2 linked regions of the Mytilus edulis genome follow. The protein of the gene in region 1 purifies or fractionates together with the protein of each later gene. This does not show direct contact. Links are inferred from orthologs where the notes say so. Each region holds a gene or a part of one and is shown on either strand. Other genes may lie near its edges.

Evidence for each region.
Region 2: the proteins of epidermal growth factor receptor-like (region 1) and SHC-transforming protein 1-like purify together in Drosophila melanogaster (affinity purification with western blotting; 3 studies listed by BioGRID). This does not show direct contact. The link is inferred for Mytilus edulis from reciprocal best matches to the Drosophila melanogaster genes Egfr and Shc.

Annotation. Positions count from the first base shown.
Region 1 is NC_092357.1:52,091,478-52,104,160, reverse strand, and holds the start of epidermal growth factor receptor-like, read left to right. Parts: upstream 1-5,888; 5' UTR 5,889-6,075; coding exon 6,076-6,169; intron 6,170-12,683. UniProt on the Drosophila melanogaster protein: Receptor tyrosine kinase, binding ligands of the EGF family and activating several signaling cascades to convert extracellular cues into appropriate cellular responses. Known ligands include spitz, gurken, vein and giant-lens.
Region 2 is NC_092347.1:75,002,034-75,015,046, reverse strand, and holds the start of SHC-transforming protein 1-like, read left to right. Parts: upstream 1-7,665; 5' UTR 7,666-7,893; coding exon 7,894-7,928; exon of another isoform or gene 7,929-7,992; intron 7,993-9,783; exon of another isoform or gene 9,784-9,914; coding exon of another isoform or gene 9,915-9,934; intron 9,935-11,204; coding exon 11,205-11,343; intron 11,344-13,013.

The sequences.
Region 1 (12,683 bases):
AATTCTCAATGTTCACATTCTTTTCTTTTTGATAACCGAAGATCCTGATCACATTTGCAACCCATCTCAAGCTGAAAATAATGACCTCATGTATACGGGCCATGAGATTGAATAAGATTGAAATATTGACTTGCAAGACAATAATACATCATCGATGTTTTTGGGTTGATTTTCACAAAACTGATAATTCATAGCGACTTATTTCTGCTTTTATAAAATTTTAATGAAAATAAATCAATTTTGACTTTTCTTTACATCGTTTTGAAATATCTTAATCAGAGTTTATAAGAGATTTAAGTATGTCACAGTTTAACACATTTTAATTGATTAATATTTATACAGGCTCTTTGGCGTAAATGAATTCCAAGTTCTGGCTAAATTGATACCACTGGAAAATAACATTTAGGGTAAATGATATGGCACGGCGACAGAGTTATTTCATATTTGCAATTATTTTGTAGTATAGTGTATTAACATTTGAATTGTTTTACATGTGGCAATTAGGGGCTTGTAATGGCTTGCTATGCGGTATGTGTTTTGCTAGTTATTGAAGGTCGTATGGTGACCTTTAGTTCTTATACCGGTATTATACCGTTCGCTTGGTCTCTAATGAAAAGATGTCTCATTGTAAACAGCATCTTATTAGGGGCCATCGAATATGCGGGAATTATATTATTTTCAGTTTGTTTGTCTTTTCGTCTGTCCGTCAACAACGTTTGTAAACGCAAAAAATCCAAAGTATGCGTAGGATGTCAATATAATTTTGCACAACTGACTGTTGTGCATAATATGTAGATGTGCACATTATATTTTAGTGAAAATTGAAGTAACAGCCTTTTATAGCTAGCTGACTATGCGGTATGGGCTTTGCTTATTGTTGAAGGTCGTACATTGACCTAAAATAGTTGTTAACTTCTATGCATGCCATTTGATCTCTCATGCATGGAGAGTTGTATCATATAGCAATCATACCACATCGTCGTATTTCTACACCAATAACAGGAACAAACTCTGTTAAAATGTCGCAAATTTTGATAAATGTTTTCTATCAATGCAACTTTAAAAGTAGAAGGCCAATGAAGTTTTGCTAATTTTTTGTGCATAATATTATTACGAAGATATGCATATTACATTTTGGTGAAATTTTGCTTAATAGTTTTGGAAAGAAAAAACTTCGTTTCAGTAAAAAAAATCACGAATTTTGAAAAATTACATGTAGTAGGATGCCATAAAAACAAATTATATATAATACATGTATTTATATAAGTATAATATGAATTTCTTTTTGTTTTTTCAAGTCAAGTCATATTACTTGCTATGATTTAGTTGCAAAAGACACCAGTAGCTTATCTGTGTCAAAATCATTTGATGTCCACAAAAACGCATGTTATGTAAAGTGCTTGAGTTTTAACAAATTATACATTAATAACATAACCTGAATTGTCAGTCTTCTCTAGTATTCATATGATTAGTTTTTTAAACCATCTATACCTTAAGTGCAATACCCGGGACGTTTTTTTTTTTATTGGTGGCGTAATTCTGTAAACAGATGAGACATCGAAAGTAAATTGGACACAATAATGCTAACAAATATTGTTTCTAACGAAAAGGGATGTGCGTACTGAATCCCCCCCCACCCCGAAGAAAACCTCTATCCTGGCGGGGAAAATCAACATTTCAACAAACAATTATGAACCCCCAATTATATGCAGTGAATGAACCGATCGTCGACAACCACAACTTTAAATCGGGAGCTGCTGCTTCTACAATTCAATCAAAGTTGAGTCTCGTGGTCTTTTAGAATTTAATATAAGTTGTTATCTGGTTTGCGTTAGCTTTCAGTATAACTTTGAGTCATCTTATATCAATATCGTGTGTTTAGACCGTAATGTTCCTTATGGCCATGTCCGATGTCACCGTTAGCTTTCAGTATAACTTTGAGTCATCTTATATCAATATCGTGTGTTTAGACCGTAATGTCCCTTATGGCCATGTCCGAGTGTCACCGTTAGCTTTCAGTATAACTTTGAGTCATCTTATATCAATATCGTGTGTTTAGACCGTAATGTCCCTTATGGCCATGTCCGATGTCACCGTTAGCTTTCAGTATAACTTTGAGTCATCTTATATCAATATCGTGTGTTTAGACCGTAATGTCCCTTATGGCCATGTCCGAGTGTCACCGTTAGCTTTCAGTATAACTTTGAGTCATCTTATATCAATATCGTGTGTTTAGACCGTAATGTCCCTTATGGCCATGTCCGAGTGTCACCGTTAGCTTTCAGTATATCTTTGAGTCATCTTATATCAATATCGTGTGTTTAGACCGTAATGTTCCTTATGGCCATGTCCGAGTGTCACCGTTAGCTTTCAGTATAACTTTGAGTCATCTTATATCAATATCGTGTGTTTAGACCGTAATGTCCCTTATGGCCATGTCCGAGTGTCACCGTTAGCTTTCAGTATAACTTTGAGTCATCTTATATCAATATCGTGTGTTTAGACCGTAATGTTCCTTATGGCCATGTCCGAGTGTCACCGTTAGCTTTCAGTATAACTTTGAGTCATCTTATATCAATATCGTGTGTTTAGACCGTAATGTTCCTTATGGCCATGTCCGAGTGTCACCGTTAGCTTTCAGTATAACTTTGAGTCATCTTATATCAATATCGTGTGTTTAGACCGTAATGTTCCTTATGGCCATGTCCGAGTGTCACCGTTAGCTTTCAGTATAACTTTGAGTCATCTTATATCAATATCGTGTGTTTAGACCGTAATGTTCCTTATGGCCATGTCCGAGTGTCACCGTTAGCTTTCAGTATAACTTTGAGTCATCTTATATCAATATCGTGTGTTTAGACCGTAATGTTCCTTATGGCCATGTCCGAGTGTCACCGTTAGCTTTCAGTATAACTTTGAGTCATCTTATATCAATATCGTGTGTTTAGACCGTAATGTTCCTTATGGCCATGTCCGATGTCACCGTTAGCTTTCAGTATAACTTTGAGTCATCTTATATCAATATCGTGTGTTTAGACCGTAATGTCCCTTATGGCCATGTCCGAGTGTCACCGTTAGCTTTCAGTATAACTTTGAGTCATCTTATATCAATATCGTGTGTTTAGACCGTAATGTCCCTTATGGCCATGTCCGAGTGTCACCGTTAGCTTTCAGTATATCTTTGAGTCATCTTATATCAATATCGTGTGTTTAGACCGTAATGTTCCTTATGGCCATGTCCGAGTGTCACCGTTAGCTTTCAGTATAACTTTGAGTCATCTTATATCAATATCGTGTGTTTAGACCGTAATGTCCCTTATGGCCATGTCCGAGTGTCACCGTTAGCTTTCAGTATAACTTTGAGTCATCTTATATCAATATCGTGTGTTTAGACCGTAATGTTCCTTATGGCCATGTCCGAGTGTCACCGTTAGCTTTCAGTATAACTTTGAGTCATCTTATATCAATATCGTGTGTTTAGACCGTAATGTTCCTTATGGCCATGTCCGAGTGTCACCGTTAGCTTTCAGTATAACTTTGAGTCATCTTATATCAATATCGTGTGTTTAGACCGTAATGTTCCTTATGGCCATGTCCGAGTGTCACCGTTAGCTTTCAGTATAACTTTGAGTCATCTTATATCAATATCGTGTGTTTAGACCGTAATGTTCCTTATGGCCATGTCCGAGTGTCACCGTTAGCTTTCAGTATAACTTTGAGTCATCTTATATCAATATCGTGTGTTTAGACCGTAATGTTCCTTATGGCCATGTCCGAGTGTCACCGTTAGCTTTCAGTATAACTTTGAGTCATCTTATATCAATATCGTGTGTTTAGACCGTAATGTTCCTTATGGCCATGTCCGAGTGTCACCGTTAGCTTTCAGTATAACTTTGAGTCATCTTATATCAATATCGTGTGTTTAGACCGTAATGTTCCTTATGGCCATGTCCGATGTCACCGTTAGCTTTCAGTATAACTTTGAGTCATCTTATATCAATATCGTGTGTTTAGACCGTAATGTCCCTTATGGCCATGTCCGAGTGTCACCGTTAGCTTTCAGTATAACTTTGAGTCATCTTATATCAATATCGTGTGTTTAGACCGTAATGTCCCTTATGGCCATGTCCGAGTGTCACCGTTAGCTTTCAGTATATCTTTGAGTCATCTTATATCAATATCGTGTGTTTAGACCGTAATGTTCCTTATGGCCATGTCCGAGTGTCACCGTTAGCTTTCAGTATAACTTTGAGTCATCTTATATCAATATCGTGTGTTTAGACCGTAATGTCCCTTATGGCCATGTCCGAGTGTCACCGTTAGCTTTCAGTATAACTTTGAGTCATCTTATATCAATATCGTGTGTTTAGACCGTAATGTTCCTTATGGCCATGTCCGAGTGTCACCGTTAGCTTTCAGTATAACTTTGAGTCATCTTATATCAATATCGTGTGTTTAGACCGTAATGTTCCTTATGGCCATGTCCGAGTGTCACCGTTAGCTTTCAGTATAACTTTGAGTCATCTTATATCAATATCGTGTGTTTAGACCGTAATGTTCCTTATGGCCATGTCCGAGTGTCACCGTTAGCTTTCAGTATAACTTTGAGTCATCTTATATCAATATCGTGTGTTTAGACCGTAATGTTCCTTATGGCCATGTCCGAGTGTCACCGTTAGCTTTCAGTATAACTTTGAGTCATCTTATATCAATATCGTGTGTTTAGACCGTAATGTTCCTTATGGCCATGTCCGAGTGTCACCGTTAGCTTTCAGTATAACTTTGAGTCATCTTATATCAATATCGTGTGTTTAGACCGTAATGTTCCTTATGGCCATGTCCGAGTGTTACCGTTAGCTTGTTATTTAATAGTGTTTCTTGTTGGTTGTTGTCTGCATGTCATAGTTGTTTGTCGTTAACTCTTTCATTGTGTCTTTTGTCACTAATATAATCAGGACGTTCGTTTTCCTTTTTTTCCTTTTCCTAACTGATTTATTCACTTTACTGAATGGATTTTGTTCATTGTTGAAGTCCATATGGCGACGTGTGGTTGCTTCATTTCAAGTTAACTCTGGTGGGAAGATATCGCATCAGCAATCAAACCAAGCCTCCTTTTTTTTTATATTAAAATTTGGAAATTTAATTAACCGAAGTCTAAATGTCCCAAGGGTAGGGAAATGAGATACAGATCTCAGACACTCCCGTGATATTCAAATACTTGATGTCGATATGTAAAGATAACAACTTTATCTTTCCTCTAATATTCGGTTTGCCAGAAGCTCATTTTTGACATGTCGATAAAATATTAGAGAAAACTGAAGAATAAGCGTAGAACGCTGGTAAAAGTATCTGCTTGTATGGAGAGCTTTCACTAAAATACACATGATAAACTTCTATGTATATTTTATACGTTTTCTACTTGAGTTTTGATATTCTCAGCTTTGATTTTCATAGTTTAAATTTTTGTATTAAATCTTATACATTTTAAATATTAAAGGCACTTCATTTAAGAAGAGACATATACAATTGTATTAAATACTGATGTCTCTGATTTTAGGTAACTTTAATTTAGCGTATCTAAAAAATATCAACTCCTTAAAGCATACGCCAATAGACTACAGGAGTTCATACTAGTTACGAGTTTTGCCAAATATTGATCATATCCAATTAATATTATAAAACAAAAATAAATTGGTGTTTACCTTAAGAATACAGTGGTTGTTAAATATAAGTCATATATAAAGTATCCTGCGAACTATAGCTAGTTAAGTTAGGTAACAAGAAATAAACATGCCAAGTGAGCCACGAGGCGTATACTAGAGTTTTATCAAAATAACGAATCACGATTCTTGGATTGATTTAACAAATATTTCGATTATTACGATATCACAAACAGCTGATTATAGTAGTAAGATCATAGTAAGCTCTGTAAAAGATGAATGGACAGGCTTTTGATGACGTTATTTCCGGTGGCGCAGTTAAACAAACGCATGTTTATTTGTATCTACAGCGGGGAAGTCCAAGTAGGAATTAACATGAGTTTTGGAACTAACTTTTAATAACATATTTCCTGAAATGGCTTTGGATATAAATTTATTATTATGTATATGTATTCTTTTTGGGATTTGTTTTTCCCATGGATATGGATTAATATCAAATCCTGAACACGGTAGGTGTTTCGTTTTTATTTTTGTTATTTTTACCTTATCCAGGTACACCGAGAGGTACACTTTAAACAGTCTTAGAAGACGTCCCATTTTATGGCTGTTATAAAACGAAAATATATTTATTAGATTTTATAATTGAACCAAGTGTTATTCTTCATAGTTTTTAGTCTGGTTATGTTATTTATTCCATTCAGGTACATTAAATAATATTTAGGTTAACTTTACAGGTAAGGTTTCGGGTCATTGAAAAAGTTATTCAAACGACATATAATAGGTTCCGTAGTCGCTTATATTCTTAGAAATCTTATTTGTTGTTTTCGTTCTGCTGATAATAATTTATACAAATCTTAATATGAAAATCATTTTTTTTTATATTATTTTAAAATTTTAAAACACATCTATATAAAGTTGAATAGTTTAGTATTACAGATACGGAGAAGATTATACAACAATCCCTAAAATTCATGCAGTGACTATGGCAAATCAAAATACCTTTACATATACACCTTCACAATAAAATTATCTTCGTTACATAACAGTTTTAATAAACACGTTAAAACATAAAAGTTCCACTTGTAAATAGAGTGGTGTAAAAGTTATCAGTCTGCATTCTTGGGGAGTGAATGTATTTTTGTGAATGAAGTGATTGCCAATACCATCCTTTATGTGTATTTGAATATTTTTATCTTGTATTAATGAGTATGCAATTACAGGGTAATTAAGCAAGAGTCTGTTGGCAATGATTTTGTTTGTATTGTCAATATTATCACTGATAGCAATCAAAACATGTGTTTTGACCCCTGTTCACTCATCACTTCATGCTCAATGAAAACGGGATTTATGTTTTTTTACAGAAAAGAAAAGTAACTAATTGAAATAGATTTACCATTTTTAAGTCCAATGGCAGAGAGCAGTAATATAACAATTTTCTAATTTACTTTCAGTGAAAAAATAATTTGTAAATTGTATGATTTATCAGACTTCAACCTGATTAAATATTTGTAATCAGCATGTAACTACAATGTATCAATGATACACAATGTTATTACTTTTCAATACAATGTTGAAAAATCAAATTTAATTTCCCAATTGAATTTGATGTCAGTTTAGAAAGTGATGTCACAGCTCCTTAACTAGAATTACAATGACATTGGTGTCATCAATTTCTGAAAATGCTATTTTAATTAAAGAAACAAATCGCCTTTCTGAACATTTTATTACACTTAATCATACACCATGGAACCATAATATTTCCAGACCAATGAAAGAAAAAAGAAAATTGATTTATACTAGGTAGACCATTTGATGAACATAATATTTAAGTTCAGAAGTTTTATGTGTCATTGTATTCCAAGTTACCAATGATTTTAATTATTTAAATAGAAACATATAGGTTAACACTTGTTATTTTTTTTACATGTTAAAAATGATCCTACACCTAGGACTAATATGGTTAGTGTAATAGTCCCAGGCCTACAATTACAAAATTTATAGAAGAAGCATTTAAATTGGTAACTTGTTAACTTGTGTGTGATATTCCACAAGATGAACTTTAAGTTATTCTCAAATGTACAATTAACTAAGAATCTTGAAAAGTGCCAAAAGGATTAAATATTTACAACAACATTTAATCATTAATCAATATTTGTCTTCTATTATATACTTCAATTCCTAGGGAAAATATTCAAAGATTTCAAGAAAAAATACATGTATTTGAAGGTCAATTTTATTTTGAAAAATGAAGATTTTGTTTTAAAATATTTCAACCAAGATTGAAGAATAAATGGAATATTACATCTTATTTCAAAAGTGTTCGATAAAAAGATCTTGACAAATTATTTAAAAAAGAAGTTCACAGCAATTACATGTATATCATAAAGGCTTGAATATTAAAGAGATTAAATTAGAACTTTATTAGAAAATTGTTGCTGAAATAGAATTGGTGTTGTTTAATGTCTTTTGTTCAAAGACAACTTGTGATTTTTTTTAGGCTGAGTAGCCATTGTATTATTATAACTTAATTTGCAAATCATCTATATAGGTCAAGCAAAAGCCGAAGAATAACAGCAACCAAGAATTACAAGAATGGAAAAAAGCATTGTATTCAATGATAATGTAGCTTTTTATACTGTTCTATAAATATGTTTGTTATATACATGTATCTGTATACGTTATTTTTGTTATATTTTATTTCTAAATCACACGCATATAGGTTAAGCAAAAATAAGGTCCACATTGGTCAATTATCTATATAATTATATCTATGTTTACTAATTACTGTAAATTCAGAAATTATTGCAACGTTTTTTTATCGCGAAAAATGCGACAGGGTTATAATTGCAATAATTAAAACTCGCATTTTGGAATTTGTAATATGAATCAAACAGGATTTTGCTGAATATATACCACAAATTTAAAATCGCATTTTGGTCTAAACTGACAAAATCGCAATAATGGATGTATGCAATAATTTCTGAATTTACAGTACATGTAATTTGACTGGTTTAGGACTTTTCATGTATTGCATGTTTCTTGTGTATAATTGTGAGGGGTCCACATGGGTCAATTAAATATCAATCTAATTAAAATATAGAATTCTGATTTCGTTATACTACTATAAAATATAGAACTTTGATTTCATTATACTACCAATGGGTTTTAGTATTAAAACATCTGCGTTCTATATTATAATTAGATTGATTACTGTAAATTCAGAAATTATTGCGATGTTTTTATTATTGCAATAAATGCGACAGGATTATAAATGACAACAATTCGATTTTGAATTTTTTTTTATGAATTTAACAGGATTTTTATCAATATCCCAAAAATTAAGTCACATTTAAGTCGAAATGTATCATCCCTATAATATAAAATGCATGCAATGAATTTCTGAATTTACAATATCTATACTTATTTAATATTAACTTGACTTGTTAAGAACTATTTTCATGTGTTGTATTATGTTTTTTATGTACATGTACTTGCTGTATGCATTCTAACCTGTCATTTTTGCAACAACATATATTATTTTGAAATCAATATATGTAGAGGGGTAAAACACATTAAAGGTGGTAAAACTTATGGATTGAACTTGAAACATCATTGAAAAACATCCAAGTTACTTACATATTAAATTAATTAAATAATTAATACTTACTTCTTTAATCACTGTGCCCTCAGATACGAAAGTGACTACACCTGTCAGTTATACAGGGAAACATGATCTATATCTAACTACTGTCAATATTTATAACATCACTTTCAACACTACTTAGTCTATCATAACATATTTATAGTCTTCTGTTGTTACATTACAACTGGGATAACAATGCTCTTATAATTTACATGACATTTTTTTCTTATATGGATAATCACTCAAAATATATACAGAAAAAGACAGATCTTGTAAGAGAACATTGGAGGACTTCACCATGTCTTTATTCTGTCTTTCAAAGTTAAACCATTTTGTTGCTGAAAGACAAACAATACAATATTTTTTTGCCATCAAACACTATCATAACTATAATAAGGTTTTAAAAACAATCAGGTAAAGATAATAATATTAAATAATTTAATTTTGGATGAAACGCGTCTTCTGATTGGCCGACATTATTTTGTTATCGGACCATAGACATAATTTAGTCATGTGACCACAACGTCATCAACGTTTTTTCAAGGTTTTCTACGGTTTAAAATAGAATTTAGAATTAAATTATAAGAAATGACTAATATTTTTTCTGTCTATTCGAAATAACATAAAAAATGTGGTGCACACTGTTAAATAACCCCCTACACGCGTTATTCAGTGTGCATCAAATTTTTTATGTTATTTCTTCATAGACAGAAAAAATATTACAGTCATTCCTTAAATAAAACAACACTAACATCTCTATGTATACAACAGTGGTCAACGAGTTCAACATATGTTAATCATTATATATTTTTAAAAGTTCTTTAAATTGGCGTTGTCATTTTTTTTTCGACTTGTGAGTTAGCATGTTGCTTTGGTAACTTTTGTCTCTGCGTCCCTCACTGTTCTGACTTGTGAGTTAAGCATGTTGCTTTGGTATCTTTTGCCTCTGAGTCCCTCACTGTTCTGACTTGTGAGTTAGCATGTTGCTTTGGTATCTTTTGCCTCTGAGTCCCTCACTGTTCTGACTTGTGAGTTAGCATGTTGCTTGAGTCCCTTACTGTCTGACTTGTGAGTTAGCATGTTGCTTTGGTATCTTTTGCCTCTGAGTACCTCACTGTTCTGACTTGTGAGTTAGCATGTTGCTTTGGTATCTTTTGCCTCTGAGTCCCTCACTGTTTAAAATTGAGGCCACATATTTTCCCCCTTCTTTATAGTTTCAGGACTGCTCTTGAAAGGTACATAAGCGAGCATAGGCGGATCCAGGAGGGGGGGCTGGGGGGCCCGGGCCCCCCTTTTGTGGGAAAAATTTGGTTGATTTTATAGGGACTCATTGAAGCATGAGTGGAGCGGGCCCTCCTTAGGTCAGTCAACGGGCCCCCCCTTAGGAAAAGTTCTGGATCCGCCACTGGAGAGCAATACTGTTTGAGATTTAAAGTAGGATCTTTTATTCACTTCCTGGTTAAAATCTTAGATCTATTTTATCTATTTTAAATCCACCATATACATTTCAGAATCAAATAAAATAGAAGTTGAAAGTTTCAATATAAGTACAAATTTAAGCACCAATTATGTAATTTTCATTTTGGGTACAATATTCTATCTAAGACATGGGTACTGAACCTGTAACCCTCTTACTCAGGATCCTTAATTCCATGTGTGTTATTGAGAATATTTTTCTACCAGGTTAAATTTACATTGACCTCCCCATTTTGTCTGAAATATTAACTCTACAGCATTTTATAAACTATTATAGTACAACATACAAAGTATTGACCTTATTAGATAATAAAATAAGAATAACAATATTTGCGGTTGTCAATTACCCAGTAAGGACCTCTGATGGACAGCCAGGATGACACAAAACTGTTACACTATCATTTTTATTATAATTTTTTTTTTAAACCAAAATATTATTAAAATGATCATATATATTTCTTCAATATCTTATAAAAATCATGTACATATTAATAATTAATCATTGTCTCTAGCCAGTGTAAGACTTGAGCAAAGTGTTTAACCTTATTTCCTTGATGTATAAGATAGAAATCTCTCTGATAGCATCACTGCTTCTGTGATTACTCTCAAGGATTTTATAAAGAGTCTGTATTTTCCATCAAAGGCTCTATCTGTCTATTTTTTTGTTTGCTTACGTCAGTCTTTATCATGGAATATCACTACTTTTATCATTTAATACTTTTTACCAATTTAAAGATAATCACCAAAACAACAAAAGCATCTTTCATACTGAAATTTTGATTCTACAAACTGACATAACATTAACCTGTAGGCTGCAATATTTACACAGACATAGGAATATTAAAATTCTTCATTTTACATCCTTTTTGTGACATTATTTTGGGTATTTGTGAAATAATAATGGTATTCAATCATTTACATGTATACAGTAAAACCTATCATTGTTTGGCGAATGACATTTTCTCAGAAAAATGGGCACTTCACAATTTGGTCCGACCATGCTTATCAACTAAGGCTATTTTAAAATGAATAATGATAATCCTAATATTTTAGTACACTGTGTAACTTTTTGTCTGTGACTTTTTGTCCTGTGACTTTCTGTCCTACATTTACATTCTAACTTTTATGGTGTTAAAAACTTTTGATGGTAACATCGTACACCTATCAAATGAAAATATTTTAAATTTGAGGTTATGACTTTATGTTATAATAAGGTGTGTGTGTGTAAAGTATATTTAATTGATCTTTGAATCAAGATTTATATGCCAAGAAAACTGGAAATACAATAAATTTATGATTGGAAAAAGAAGTGATGATTTTATTGTTTTTCTGTTGATTTATCTTTTATAAAAATAGGTCCATTTTCGTGACTGTTACTATTCACTGTTAACATGTACTATTATATACGTATTCACAACATTTTTTTGTAAAATTAGTGCCTCAGGCTAGTTTAAGAATGCATGATTTATAACAATGTTTTTGTAAAGACTTTGACCACTTTAAATTAAACAGAGGATCAACACTGCACCACATCCGTTATATAGTTAATCATGGACTTGTACATGATCACACTCACACATACAATGTAGCAAATTGGCCTAGCTCCACTTAATGTGTTCCAAATCTATATAAATTAACCTCAAATGATTTTTCCTACAGTAAATTAAATGTTTTATAAAATAAATCTTATTAAGGCAATGAGAAAACTATTATAAAACTGAATACCAAATATCATTGACCTGACATAGCTTTATTAGTTTTTATGAGTAATTTCATTAAGACAATAACTTGATAGTAAGACATTAGATATGATTTCAGAAATGAATTTTGAAAGGTGTATCTATAGGTAAGTATTTGGAAGGGTAGTATATATAAGAAGGTTATTGTGTATGGGTTGCATGTAG
Region 2 (13,013 bases), on another chromosome or scaffold:
CTAGTATTTGGTTTTGATGTTATATATATATGTTCTATTTGTTATTCTCGTGGGATTTTGTCTATGTGTGTTACATTTTAGTGTTATGTCGTTGTTCTCTTATATTTAATGCGTTTCCCTCGGTTTTAGTTTGTTATCCCGATTTTGTTTTTTGTCCATGGATTTATGAGTTTTGAACAGCGGTATACTACTGTTGCCTTTATTTAGAAGATTAAGCTAATCTAATTTCATGTGTTAATTTGTTTTTCAACTTTTTTAGCGACATTTTACTTTAATTCATCTATTATTCGCATATGTTTAATCCCTAAATAAGTCTGTATGTTAGTTATTGTTATTTATTAGCTATGTGCTATTTTTGTCTCGAATCCGAATTTGAATTTTAGAGAAATGTTTGTCAAGTTTATTCAAGTAATTTTTGGTTTGTTATAAAAACATGATAAACTGTTTTATTATTACGATATGGCATCTATTGGATTTAGTATAACACTGAGCAGTTGCAACCCTGTACAATTTTGTTCCATGCTGAACTTTTAAATTATACATCGCGGTAACCATAGTCTTCATTTGTTGCAAGAGTTATTCCCAGAGTCAGTGTCCGTGTAGACAAGTCGTATTGTTTATTGTGTGTGTTAGTCACAAGATACATCCAGTTTCTATTTGTGACAATATCATTATTTTACAGAACATGTTGAATAAACAAACTGAAATACATACCATAAGTGTTTAAAGCACAGTCAATTGTCTAAAGATAAAAATTGACAGCTAAAGGGTCCATGTCCATTAATCGGACCCTTATGGTATTCAGGGGCAATTTTCGTCAATATATCAGACAACTCTAACGGTTGCCAATTTAAAATCACTCCGGACTCGGATTCCCAAAATTGATAAGGGGTGCAGTCATTGTGTCAAAGGCCTAGTTGTATAAAGCTGCACCGAACTTACTTATTCATTGTTATAAATTAAATACACCGAGGCATATAATACGTGAAGGGAACAAACCGTTCTAACTACATATAAAATGAGAACACAAACTGTCACTGAACACACTCGCGCCAGCATATGCCAACAAATATATATATAACCATGCAATTATAGATACCATTACATCCGCCTCGGGACTGATCAATGCCTGTAATATCGGTCGCTGGCCTGTCATCAAACCTACAAACAATCAAACAAATTGAACTGCCTTGTATGTCGTTGTGAATAAATTTAACAACACCTACAAATTTCTGATAACAAAATCGTATTTCTTGAAATAGACGCACAAAGTCAGAAACCGTGACAATAGACGACCATGGTGTAAAATCTCTTGGAGAAAAACGGGAGTTAAGACAAATGTATGTGTTACTGCTTTAGCTTATAATCCAATCGTTTCATAAGTATATGGCTTAGATTTTCTTCGAAAATTATCACTATATATAAACAAGAAAGCCATACCGGTACATAATAACAATATCAAAAAATGAATTTATTCTATTATATCATACCTTTTGGGCTAAAAGCTGCTGAAAAGAACTAAATGACGCATCACAAAATTGTTGGTGCTGATTACAAACAAGAAAACAGAATTTACTGAATCACTCAATTTAATCATTGAATCACATTCAATGTGTATACACAATTGCATCATTGATTCACATATCTGTATAAAACTTTTTTACGATGCAGAAAGGAATTGTATATTCAAATATTGGATGAAGGCGGTTGTGTATTTTTTCATCGATATTTACCCATGTACTCCTTTTACTCTGATGTCTTACACTACAGTTCCAAACTTTTCTGACTTAAGCTCCTAGCCTCGGCCCTAAACATGATACAGAGAATTGCAGAAAATATAACTGGTTGTTTTTTAGGACATACATCCCAAAGGATTCTGGAATAGGGCAGGAATATTACGATACATCATTAATTTATAGATAGTCTCATCTTGCTCGACGTTCAATTACAGACATTACACGGTTGTCATTCGGTACATCGAGAAAAATTATCGTGAAAGAAGACCATATGGTGGTTGAGAATTGAGATCGAATCGTGAAAGATCTTATATCGGATCATGACTGTGTTTAACTCAAATTCGAGTTCAAAATCTGGAAAAAAAACAGCCGGCGTATTTTCAAAACTCGGAACAAATAAAAAATAGTTTTATGTCTGTCAAAATGATTCAACTTTCTCAATAGTACTGTAAAAATTGTTTTATATTGTTTCCAGAATGCATTCTAGTAAATTGTAAGATTTTAAAAAGTGAACCCATTCACTTTGATTTTGTCTTAAGTAAAAATTGAAGGATTGAAAAAAATCCTCTCGCTCATAAGTTGTATTTAGTAGATATGGGAACATGTGGTAATGAGTGCCAATGAGACAACGCTCCATCCAAATAACAATTTATTAAATAAACCATTATAGGTCAAGGTCCGGCTTTCAACACGGAGCCTTCCATCGGCTTCCACGGAGCCTTCTATAGGTTCTGCCATCACCAACTCTAGTGTGGGTATTGCATTTGATATTAGCCTGAGATTAAAAAAAAGTACAACAAATAACTATGCTGGGCCATTTTTATAAAGTGTGCATTGATTGTATATCTAGATCTGTAAATTTGCAATTTTCATTCTTCGGATGATGTACACCAATTCTTAAACATGAAAAAGTTTGTATGTCCATGTCAAAGGCACAGGCGTTTTGGGAAATGGATCCCTTTTTTCCTTGATATTTTTTTTTGGTGCTTTTTTTTTATATATATATATATATATATATATATATATATATATATATATATATATATATATATATACTGTAAATTCTAACGAGCACTAGCTGTCAAATTCATGTTCATCGATTTGACTCAAATTCTCATATTTGTTTTATAACAATGTAAAATATTTATCAAAATTATTAAAAGTCTAAAGTAAACAGTTTACAGGCCATGGGCATGATAATACGTAGCTTCGTTGACCCCCCCCCCCCCCCCCCCCCCCCTTCGTTTTGTGTGTATTTTAGTCTAGACGCAATCTAATTAACTGTCGAGTTGACCTCCTAAATACTGTGACCTCCGATGCCCATATAAGCGATTTAAACATAACTATAGATATAAGTAGAAAGTGGAACTCGTGGAATTGGATTCTTCTAGATCTATTTAATTTCATTTATAGTTGTTAATCATCATTTTTACCTGTATAAGAATGATTTGTTTGAGGAATAGTCAATCTAATGATTTACCTTTGTTTCGCTTTCAATGTTGACATTCTTTTCCTTTTTAAAACTAATCAAACACGCACACAATTCATACGTTATCCATCTCTAGCTTCACAAGAACACGGATTCAATGAGGTCGAATTATTCACTTGCAAGTGAATAATTCATTACAATGGTTCTTAGTTAATTTTGACAAAATTGGATCATACTGGCTGTTTAAAGCGAATTACTATTTTACTGTTATTAATGTTTGAACCTAAAAAAAAATATTTTTTTAATATAATATGTACTTGTAGCTAGTGCCCCTTTCAGTTTCACCAAGGCTTTGTTTAATACTTGGTTTTACCAGTCTCTGCTCTCAATAGAGTGTAAAAATTTTCTAACGATATATAATTGCTGTTATTGTTATATCGTATTGATATTGAATAAAAGAAGGAAAATACGGTATTGCGAACATTTCTTAAAAAAAAAACACATATAAAATACTCTAAAGGGATAAAATTACAGTTGAAATTTCGCGGGAACAAAAGTTGTCGATCTTATTTCTTGCGCATGCGAAGTAATGATATAAACTTCCGGTTTTATTTTGTCACGATAAAATCTGGAAATAGTTTATTTTTGTAAATTATGAAGTAAATAATCACAGAATAGGTAAGAAATATATGTTACCCTTATCAGTATTATCACATATCTTCCTTTTTAGGAATGACAAGACTAATAAACCTTACACATTGCCGTTAGGTGGTCGGGCAGTTGCGATGTAAGGAAGGGCAGTCTTGTCTAACTTTTCATTTTACCTTTTTTTCTGTGCAGGTGTAAAATCTGCAAGCGGCAAACACAAAAAATGAATAGGGTCGGAACTCCCATATACGAAACATTATTACTTTGAGCAATTATTGAGTGTAAAAAAAACCAATGTCTGTCATTTTCATGATTTTGTCCAGTGACACTGACAGATTTAGGTTTTTGAAATAGGAGCCCCTTCTTAAGGGTAGTAATGTTATGTGAGTTCGTGGTCTAGTGGTTAAGACCGATGGCTACAGTGCTGAAGGTCCCGTTCCAAAAGTTCTCACTTGGGGTGCTAAAAATATCAGTACATCAGAAGGGTAATTTTCACCCTCTCACACACAACTCTGGTACCCAGACCGGAATTTAAACTAGAATGGGTACTTTGGGGGCCTTGGTTGGTCAAAGTTGCCCCCTACTTTGACCAGAAGATCAATCTTCTGATATCTCTCTGGTTTGTCTGTTTCCACCGAGTGGCCTGGTGGTTCTCTCCGAGTCCTTCGGCTTCCTCCACCATAATAACAGACTTCCCCGGTGTCATACACGCTCCCTTGGGCGGTGTTGTGTTGGGATTGTTCTGGTGGTGGGAAAATATTGGAAATCAAAGTACATAGATACAATTGGGGTACCTTCATGACATATTACGGTAAACATTCTTGCCAAATGACTTTAATGGTAATTTTTAGTGCATGACGATAAAATGTACATCACAATATTTTTTTTCCAAAAAATAATTGTAACGATAATTATTTGATACCTCTGACGAATCACAGTAAAATTTCAACCAATTAGACGCTAACGGTACCAAAAAAATTAGCGTTAATTGCCTGACAGTAAAGGGCATTACCAACCTCCTTTTTGTATAGATAATATGCTACCTTTCAAAACAATTAACCATTTGAATATATTGATATCACATACAAATTAAATGTATATACATGTATAAAAAACACATGAGACATCACTATCAGTCATTCAGTATTTACATACAATTTATTAAAAAACACATTTTCAAAGAGACGGTTACATAGATTCTGCACATTGTATTTTCAGGGTTATATACTTTAGGGTATCATTTTTTCATTGCATTGCAGTGAACCAGACTGCCATGGCACTATCATTATATTTCCCTTGGCAGCAGGCTGTCATTTGTGCGGTATTAGGCATACACAAATGTTGGTTTATGGTTACATCATTTAAAATGATAAAGGTAGGCAGGTCAGCATTTCCATTCTTGCTGTGTTCTGAGTTTACATAGAATTTTGAAGGAGAGTCCTCTGGACTCATAACTTTTGGTCATATTGCATTCAGTCCAACTGTATAAATGAAACATGAAATGGTTTTAATATAAATATTTATCAGGCCTGTAGCCAAGAATTTCCGAAGGGGGGTTATTTGGACTCACGAACTCAACTTTAACAGTCACAATTCGAACAGAACGTTGACTTTAACAGTGGTTATTTGTTTTCAAGGGGGGAGGGGGGTTCTAGACAAACCCCACCTGGGTACGGGTATGTTTATTAAGACTATTGTGTATGTTACATAAAGTTATAATAAAACATATATTACAGAAGTTTATACATGTAGTTTATGTACAATAGATATTAATCAACATTTTTTTATTTTCATCTGAACAATCTTTCATCTTTTTAACTGGTGTAATACAATTTTACTCACAAAAGCTAATTTCAAAGCCAATGTAAAAAAAATTGCTATGAAATCTACTCAGTCAAATTGAAAAATGTGGTACTAACCAGTTATTGATCATTATTAACATGATTAATGTTTTCCAAAAATATGTATTCGATCATCAGCACATTAACATTTGCATGTGCAAATTTCTGTTAAACCTGAACCAATTCAAATGCTTCTCAAAACTCTTAGAACTTTATATATCCATTATTTTATTATTGAGCTGAATAGTCTTGGACCAGATCATCTTGATGCTGGATCAACTTTGGGGTTGAATCCAATTCAAGCAATATCGACCAAATACCAATACCGGTAAATAACATGGAAAGAATTATATATGGGATATCCACTCCTGACAGAAAATCAGTACATGTGCAGTCAAAACAGTATAAACTTTTATTGCTGTTATTCATCTCTAAGTCACCAGTGTTCTCCCCAGGATTTTTCTAAGGCGCAAAATTCAAGGGTGCGTAACTCTTTTTTATAGTGAACTTTTGTGATCTGAATCAATCAGTCATAAATCATGACATGCAATATGAGTTATAATGCTTTGTGTTGTGTGTTTAATAGTGCAAAGTGAATTACAAGAATATATATGAAATAAATTGATTTAAACACAAAAGTTATTTATATATATATATTCAGTCCATTCAAGATGTCAAAATAAAAATATTCATCTCTGTATTCTCTACTCCTTCTAGGGATATTGTTTCAAGATAATGTTATTTTGTTGGACAGTCTGTTCCTCAACTTTGTCTTTATCCTCTTTAGGGATTGAACACCCCCTCTCACAATAACTTTTGCTTATACCCCCTTTAACATTTCTAAGCAATGAAAACTCAGTCAGCCACTTGTCACTGAAACCAGAAACATGGTGCTTGCTTTTATCACTGCTAAAACTTTAGCTCGGTTGGGATTAGGGGAAGCAATAATATCTGTGTATACTGACAGCTGAGTGTAGATGGATCGGAAGTGTATTTCCCTTTTCATTTGAAGCAGAGACATATACACACATGTGTATAGCTGCGGGATTTACGAAAATATTATGAAGGCGATGCGGGACCGCAGCGTCATATCGGCCTGGGGAGAACACTGAGTCACAGTAAGGCCATCAACACAGATCTAAATGATAAATCTTACTGCAAGTTTAAGATGACCAGTTATAAAACTAATGTTATTTGCTTCATTAAAAAATCAAGCAGTTAACCCTTTCCTCCATAATGACGCTTTTTGACGCCACCCCCTTTACTCCATAATAACGCCTTTTGACACCTGTGTAGTACTTAAGATGAAACGCTTTGACTACAAAATGTCTGCATCAAACTTTAAAAAAATTGTATCTTATATGAAAGAATATCTGACTTGAATTTCATTGATGAAATATTTGTTTTTGTAATGCATTAATACTTTAAACCTGATATTTTTTTTTATTGAAAAAATCCTATGCGAATCAAGTATTTAAAAAAAAAATCTCCATAGAGTAAAGGGTTAAATAGTATAATTAGCAATATTGTTATTGGTGTACATTGTAATATTGCATTGCCTTTACACACATTTCTAGATTTTAATTTGAAATTCAAAAACAATCATAATTCATCATGCACATGATTAAGCTGTCAAGTACTACATGTAAGTAAAATTTGAATGTGGAATGATCAACTTGAAAACCCCCCTTTTTAGCTCACCTGGTATGAAGGGGTAGTAAATGAGATTACTGTAAGTTCATAAAATATTGTAATGCTTTTTATTAATGTGAATAATGGGACTGTTATGAGTAACGCAATGAAAGGAACTGGCATTCGAATATCTGATGCATATATTATGCAGCTCTTCCTGAAAATTGCAATAATAATCTTAAATTTATGTCCTTACTTAAAAAATCGCTGTAAATGAGCACAATTATCTCTATTACCTAGTTTCTGGTAACAAACTTATGCCAAAATTTTCTCCTCTGAAACCATTATTGAATGTACTTTATTGACCTTTTTAACCATATATACACGTACATAAAATACATGAAAAGATGTAAAAGTATATGATATATGAACCTCATTATATACTTTATATATATATGTCAATTGGGAAGTATAGATTTAAAGTGAGCCAAGTACATTTCTTTACAAGGTGCAGTCTTGTGGTATTGTTTTATTTTTGATCAGGAAGTTTATGATGGCCATTAAAACAATTATATATTATTGATGACAAATCGTTGCTCCAGTTGTGATGAGTCAGGACTTATTGTTGTGTTTTGGTACTATGTAAGTACTACATGTATGTAGTAAATTAATGTCCTGTATCTACAATGATCTAGGATTAATGAAGGTACTTTTAAATGTATTTGTTTAATGTTAATAATTTTACAATTGAATATACATGTATGTTTTTTTTTCTATCAAATTTAACCAAAGTCATTTCTAAGACATGTAGATCTGATCAGACATATTTTTTTAAATGTTGCATTAATCTGAATGAATTGCGACATTGATATGAACCGGTAGCTGAAACAAGACTCGCTTTTAGATGTATCATTTCATCTCAAGTACAGGCAATGTGAATCAGTTAAAGGTGAATGTGTTGAGGGATTAATAGTGAGTAGATATAAGAAGATGTGGTATGAGTGCCAATGAGACAGCTCTGTATTAATTCAAGTCACAATTTATAAAAGTAAACCATTACAGGTCAAATTCTGCTTTCAAAAATCTATATTTTCTATGGACATGATGCAATAAACATAGAAATACAAATAGTATGAAATTCAAAACAGTGTAGCTGTGGCCATTGATTGACCCATCAAAATCATCCATTGACTGGGACAATTTACGTGAACGTTTGTCTGTAACAACCACTGTTCATGACGTACCTACGATAGACAGTTAAACTGTGGGGTCACCAAAGGTTTCTTAATGCCTTTAATTATAAAATAATTCGAAAAAATTAATCAGGAATAAACTTTGTGTTTTGATTTATATAATTGATATAAATCAAAATATCGTGTTATTTCTGATTAATTTTTCGAATTACTTTATTTAGGTTTTGAGAACCTTTGGTGACCCCATAGTTTAAGTTTCTTTAAAAAGTACATAGTGAGCATTGGTCGTTACATACAAACGTTCACCTAAATTGTCCCAGTCAATGAATGATTTTAATGTGTCAATCAATGGCCACAGCTACACTGTTTTGAATTTCATACTATTATTAAGATGAATTACCAACAATCAAGCATTCATCTTTTCAGCAAATATCAACAAAATTAACGGTAACTTAGAATTTCAGTTCCTTTAAAATTTCTGCATGTATTGTCGATACATGATAAGTACATGCCTGAGCCTGTCTAGACCCTCTTCTCTAAAACCATAAGTGGATTGGTCAGATATAGGTCAGTGATACATGTATTGCTTCCACATTTTGATTTACAATGGGAAATGAGTTTAAGTTTCAACAAAGTGGGCACAATTTAGTGTATTGTAAGAGATGGTATCATCAACAATAATAATCAAATACACAAGTGCATGCTAGTAAGATGGATGAAATGAGAAGAATGTGTGGGCATCACTCTGTACAAGGCATCAGATTGAATTCTCCTTTATAATATTGAGAAATAAAAAGAACGATATACTCCTTACATTTTAGTGCAAAAATATAAGTTATGCTGTCATAAACATGTTGAAATTGACAGATTGTCTTAAAATGACCCTGTTTTGGCAAAATGATATTTGAGTCACAGCTATGCATGTATTTTAATTTTTACCCCCATTTACATCATTGCATAAGACATGTGTCAAAATTATCTTTTTAGATAACTCATATCTAAATATAAATGACAAGATCTCAAAATGAGACTCCTTTGTCAAGATTTCCATGAAATGTTATCTTATAAGAAGTTTGAACCCTTAAACAAATAGGTAAGACACATTTAAAAAAATATTGATACAGATATTTGAAAGCCATTGTGAACATCTGATGGATTTGGTTTTTACACTCAACATGCTCAAGGGTTTTAAAAACTAATATATTTCAAGAAAGATAATTTGTAATATTTTAACATTTATATATATATATCATATATATAAAATAAAGTATCCATGTCCTTGACTTTCATAATAAAGTTGAAATATTACAACCAGGAACTAAGAGATAAACTTAATATCCCTGTTATCAGACATATGGTTATATTGTGTACAATATGTTTTATTTACAATCGGTCTACCATATCTGCATGAGTAACCATCTGTAACTGTTTGTAAATGTGCATAACTTTGAATGTGTAAGTGATATATTTATAATATTCATAAATCATTTTATTCATCTATTTCCATTTATAAATATATATGTTGAATGATGATACAATGTAGTGATCAATTTTAATTTTGTTAATACAATATAATACATAAATTCAGACTGTAAATGATAATGATATAAGCATGATAAGTAAGTAACTACATTTTTTTATTTTTTGTTAAGCATATAGAAATATTTACCGGGTTGGTTGTTATTGACATATTGTGTTTTTATATTGTAATAGATGAATTGACATTATAAAAACCACTAATGATAATTTCAGTTAACCCTTACCACAACCTCTGTTGGTAAATTGTCACAGTACATGTATTAATATACATATACATATATATAATGTTAAAGGCCTACATGTACATGTTAAAATGGGTGCTTTACTTGTATAATACAATGTATATACATGTATAATGCATGTGTTAAATCATTGTTTTCCAATCATTCTAAATGCAAAGTCTGCATTCACTTCAATTTAGTTTTAAAATGTTAACATAAGATTTATAAAATTTCAATTTTTACCATTATACAAGTAAGTCTTATAAAATCTATCTTCAAGTTATTGGGAATTTTGATATGATCTGACGCAATTACAATGAGATTGCCCAAATTAATTACCTTGTTAATGAAATAAGTGAAAGTGGATAATCTCCAAGAATACTGTATAGAAATCTGTATATGTCTTTCACTTCACAACATTTTGATATAAGGATTGAATAAGGTTGACTTCTGTGAGTTCATTATGAATTCAAGTGGAATTTTTAAATTACATAGAATTCATGGGTTTTTGTGAACCCCAAATTTGAAATGTTCAACAAAATACAAATTTCCTTTTAATAGGCTTGTATGCCAATTGTTGTAAAACCACAAAATCAAAAAGCCATGAAAACACAAATTTTCCTTTAAACTCTAAATCAAGAGGAAGATACAGACAGTTAGTCAATGAACTACCATGTTTTTTGGTCCTTAAATGCGGAATGGGCTGTGTATTTTTCTTACTGGTTCACTGGTGTTAAAGCATAGAAAAATGAAAATTCTTACTACAGTGTATGATCAAACACCTAATAAATGAGCTGCAAGTAAATAAAGTCTCATGTCTAATTATATTAACAAGGATTATGATTATATCTAATGAAGACATAACAGCAAGATATCCGAAACCAAGACCACAGAAAACTTTTTTATAGATATATCTTGTATATGATATTTGTCCAAATGTCTACATGCACTATATTTTTTTCCAGAATGGACAAGCATAAAAAGGGGAAGAAGCAACCTTCTGAATGGTCAAAAACTGGTAGTTTTATGCACAAACCAGATAGAGGCTGGATTCATCCAGATGCACAAATAAAGCCTGATGCTGGTGTATGCTATGGTGTGAGAGTAAGTAGCAGTTACCTCCCTTTATTATACGACCGCAAATTTTGAAAAAAATTTTGTCGTATATTGCTATCACGTTGGCGTCAGCGTCGTCGTCGTCGTCGTCGTCGTCCGGCGTCCGAATACTTTTAGTTTTCGCACTCTAACTTTAGTAAAAGTGAATGGAAATCTATGAAATTTTAACACAAGGTTTATGACCACAAAAGGAAGGTTGGTATTGATTTTGGGAGTTTTGGTCCCAACATTTTAGGAATTAGGGGCCAAAAAGGGCCCAAATAAGCATTTTCTTGGTTTTCGCACTATAACTTTAGTTTAAGTTAATAGAAATCTATGAAATTTTGACACAAGGTTTATGACCACAAAAAAACGGTTGGGATTGATTTTGGGAGTTTTGGTCTCAACAGTTTAGGAATTAGGGGCCAAAAAAGGGCCCAAATAAGCATTATTCTTGGTTTTCGCACAATAACATTAGTTTAAGTAAATAGAAATCAATGAAATTTAAACACAATGTTAATGACTACAAAAGGAAGGTTGGTATTGATTTTGGGAGTTTAGGTCCGAACAGTTTAGGAATTAGGGGCCAAAAAGGGACCCAAATAAGCATTTTTCTTGGTTTTCGCACCATAACGTTAGTATAAGTAAATAGAAATCTATGAATTTTAAACACAAGGTTTATGACCATAAAAGAAAGGTTGGGTTTGATTTTGGGAGTTTTGGTCCCAACATAATAAGGGGCCCAAAGGGTCCAAAATTAAACTTTTGTTTGATTTCATCAAAATTGAATAATTGGGGTTCTTTGATATGCTGAATCTAACTGTCATGACTGTGTATGTAGATTCTTAACTTTTGGTCCCGTTTTCAAATTGGTCTACATTAAGGTCCAAAGGGTCCAAAATTAAACTTAGTTTGATTTTGACAAAAAATGAATCAGTTAGGTTCTTTGATATGCTGAATCTAAAAATGTATCTAGATTCTTGATTATTGGCCCAGTTTTCAAGTTGGTCCAAATCGGGGTCCAAAATTAAACTTTGTTTGATTTCATCAAAAATTGAATAAATGGGGTTCTTTGATATACCAAATCTAACTGTGTATGTAGATTCTTCATTTTTGGTCCTGTTTTCAAATTGGTCTACACTAAAGTCCAAAGGGTCCAAAATTAAACTTAGTCTGATTTTAACAAAAATTGAAATCTTGAAGTTCTTTGATATGCTGAATTCAAAAATGTACTTAGATTTTTTATTATGGGCCCAGTTTTCAAGTTGGTCCAAATCAGGATCTTAAATTATTATATTAAGTATTGTGCAATAGCAAGTCTTTTCAATTGCACAGTATTGCGCAATGGCAAGAAATATCTAATTGCACAATATTGTGAAATATCAAAAAAAATTTAATTAGAGTTATCTTTCTTTGTCCAGAATAGTAAGCAAGAAATATCTAATTGCAAAATATTGTGCAATAGCAAGATTTTTTTTTAATTGGAGTTATCTTTCTTTGTCCAGAATCAACTTAAATCTTTGTTATATACAATATACAATGTATATTCACTTTTTACTACCAACTGATAAATTAAAATAATCTTTACCATTCAGTGATAACAAGCAGTTTTTTTACATCTTAATATTTTATGATGTATTTAAATGAGTAGTTATTGTTGCAAACTCCATTAGAAATTT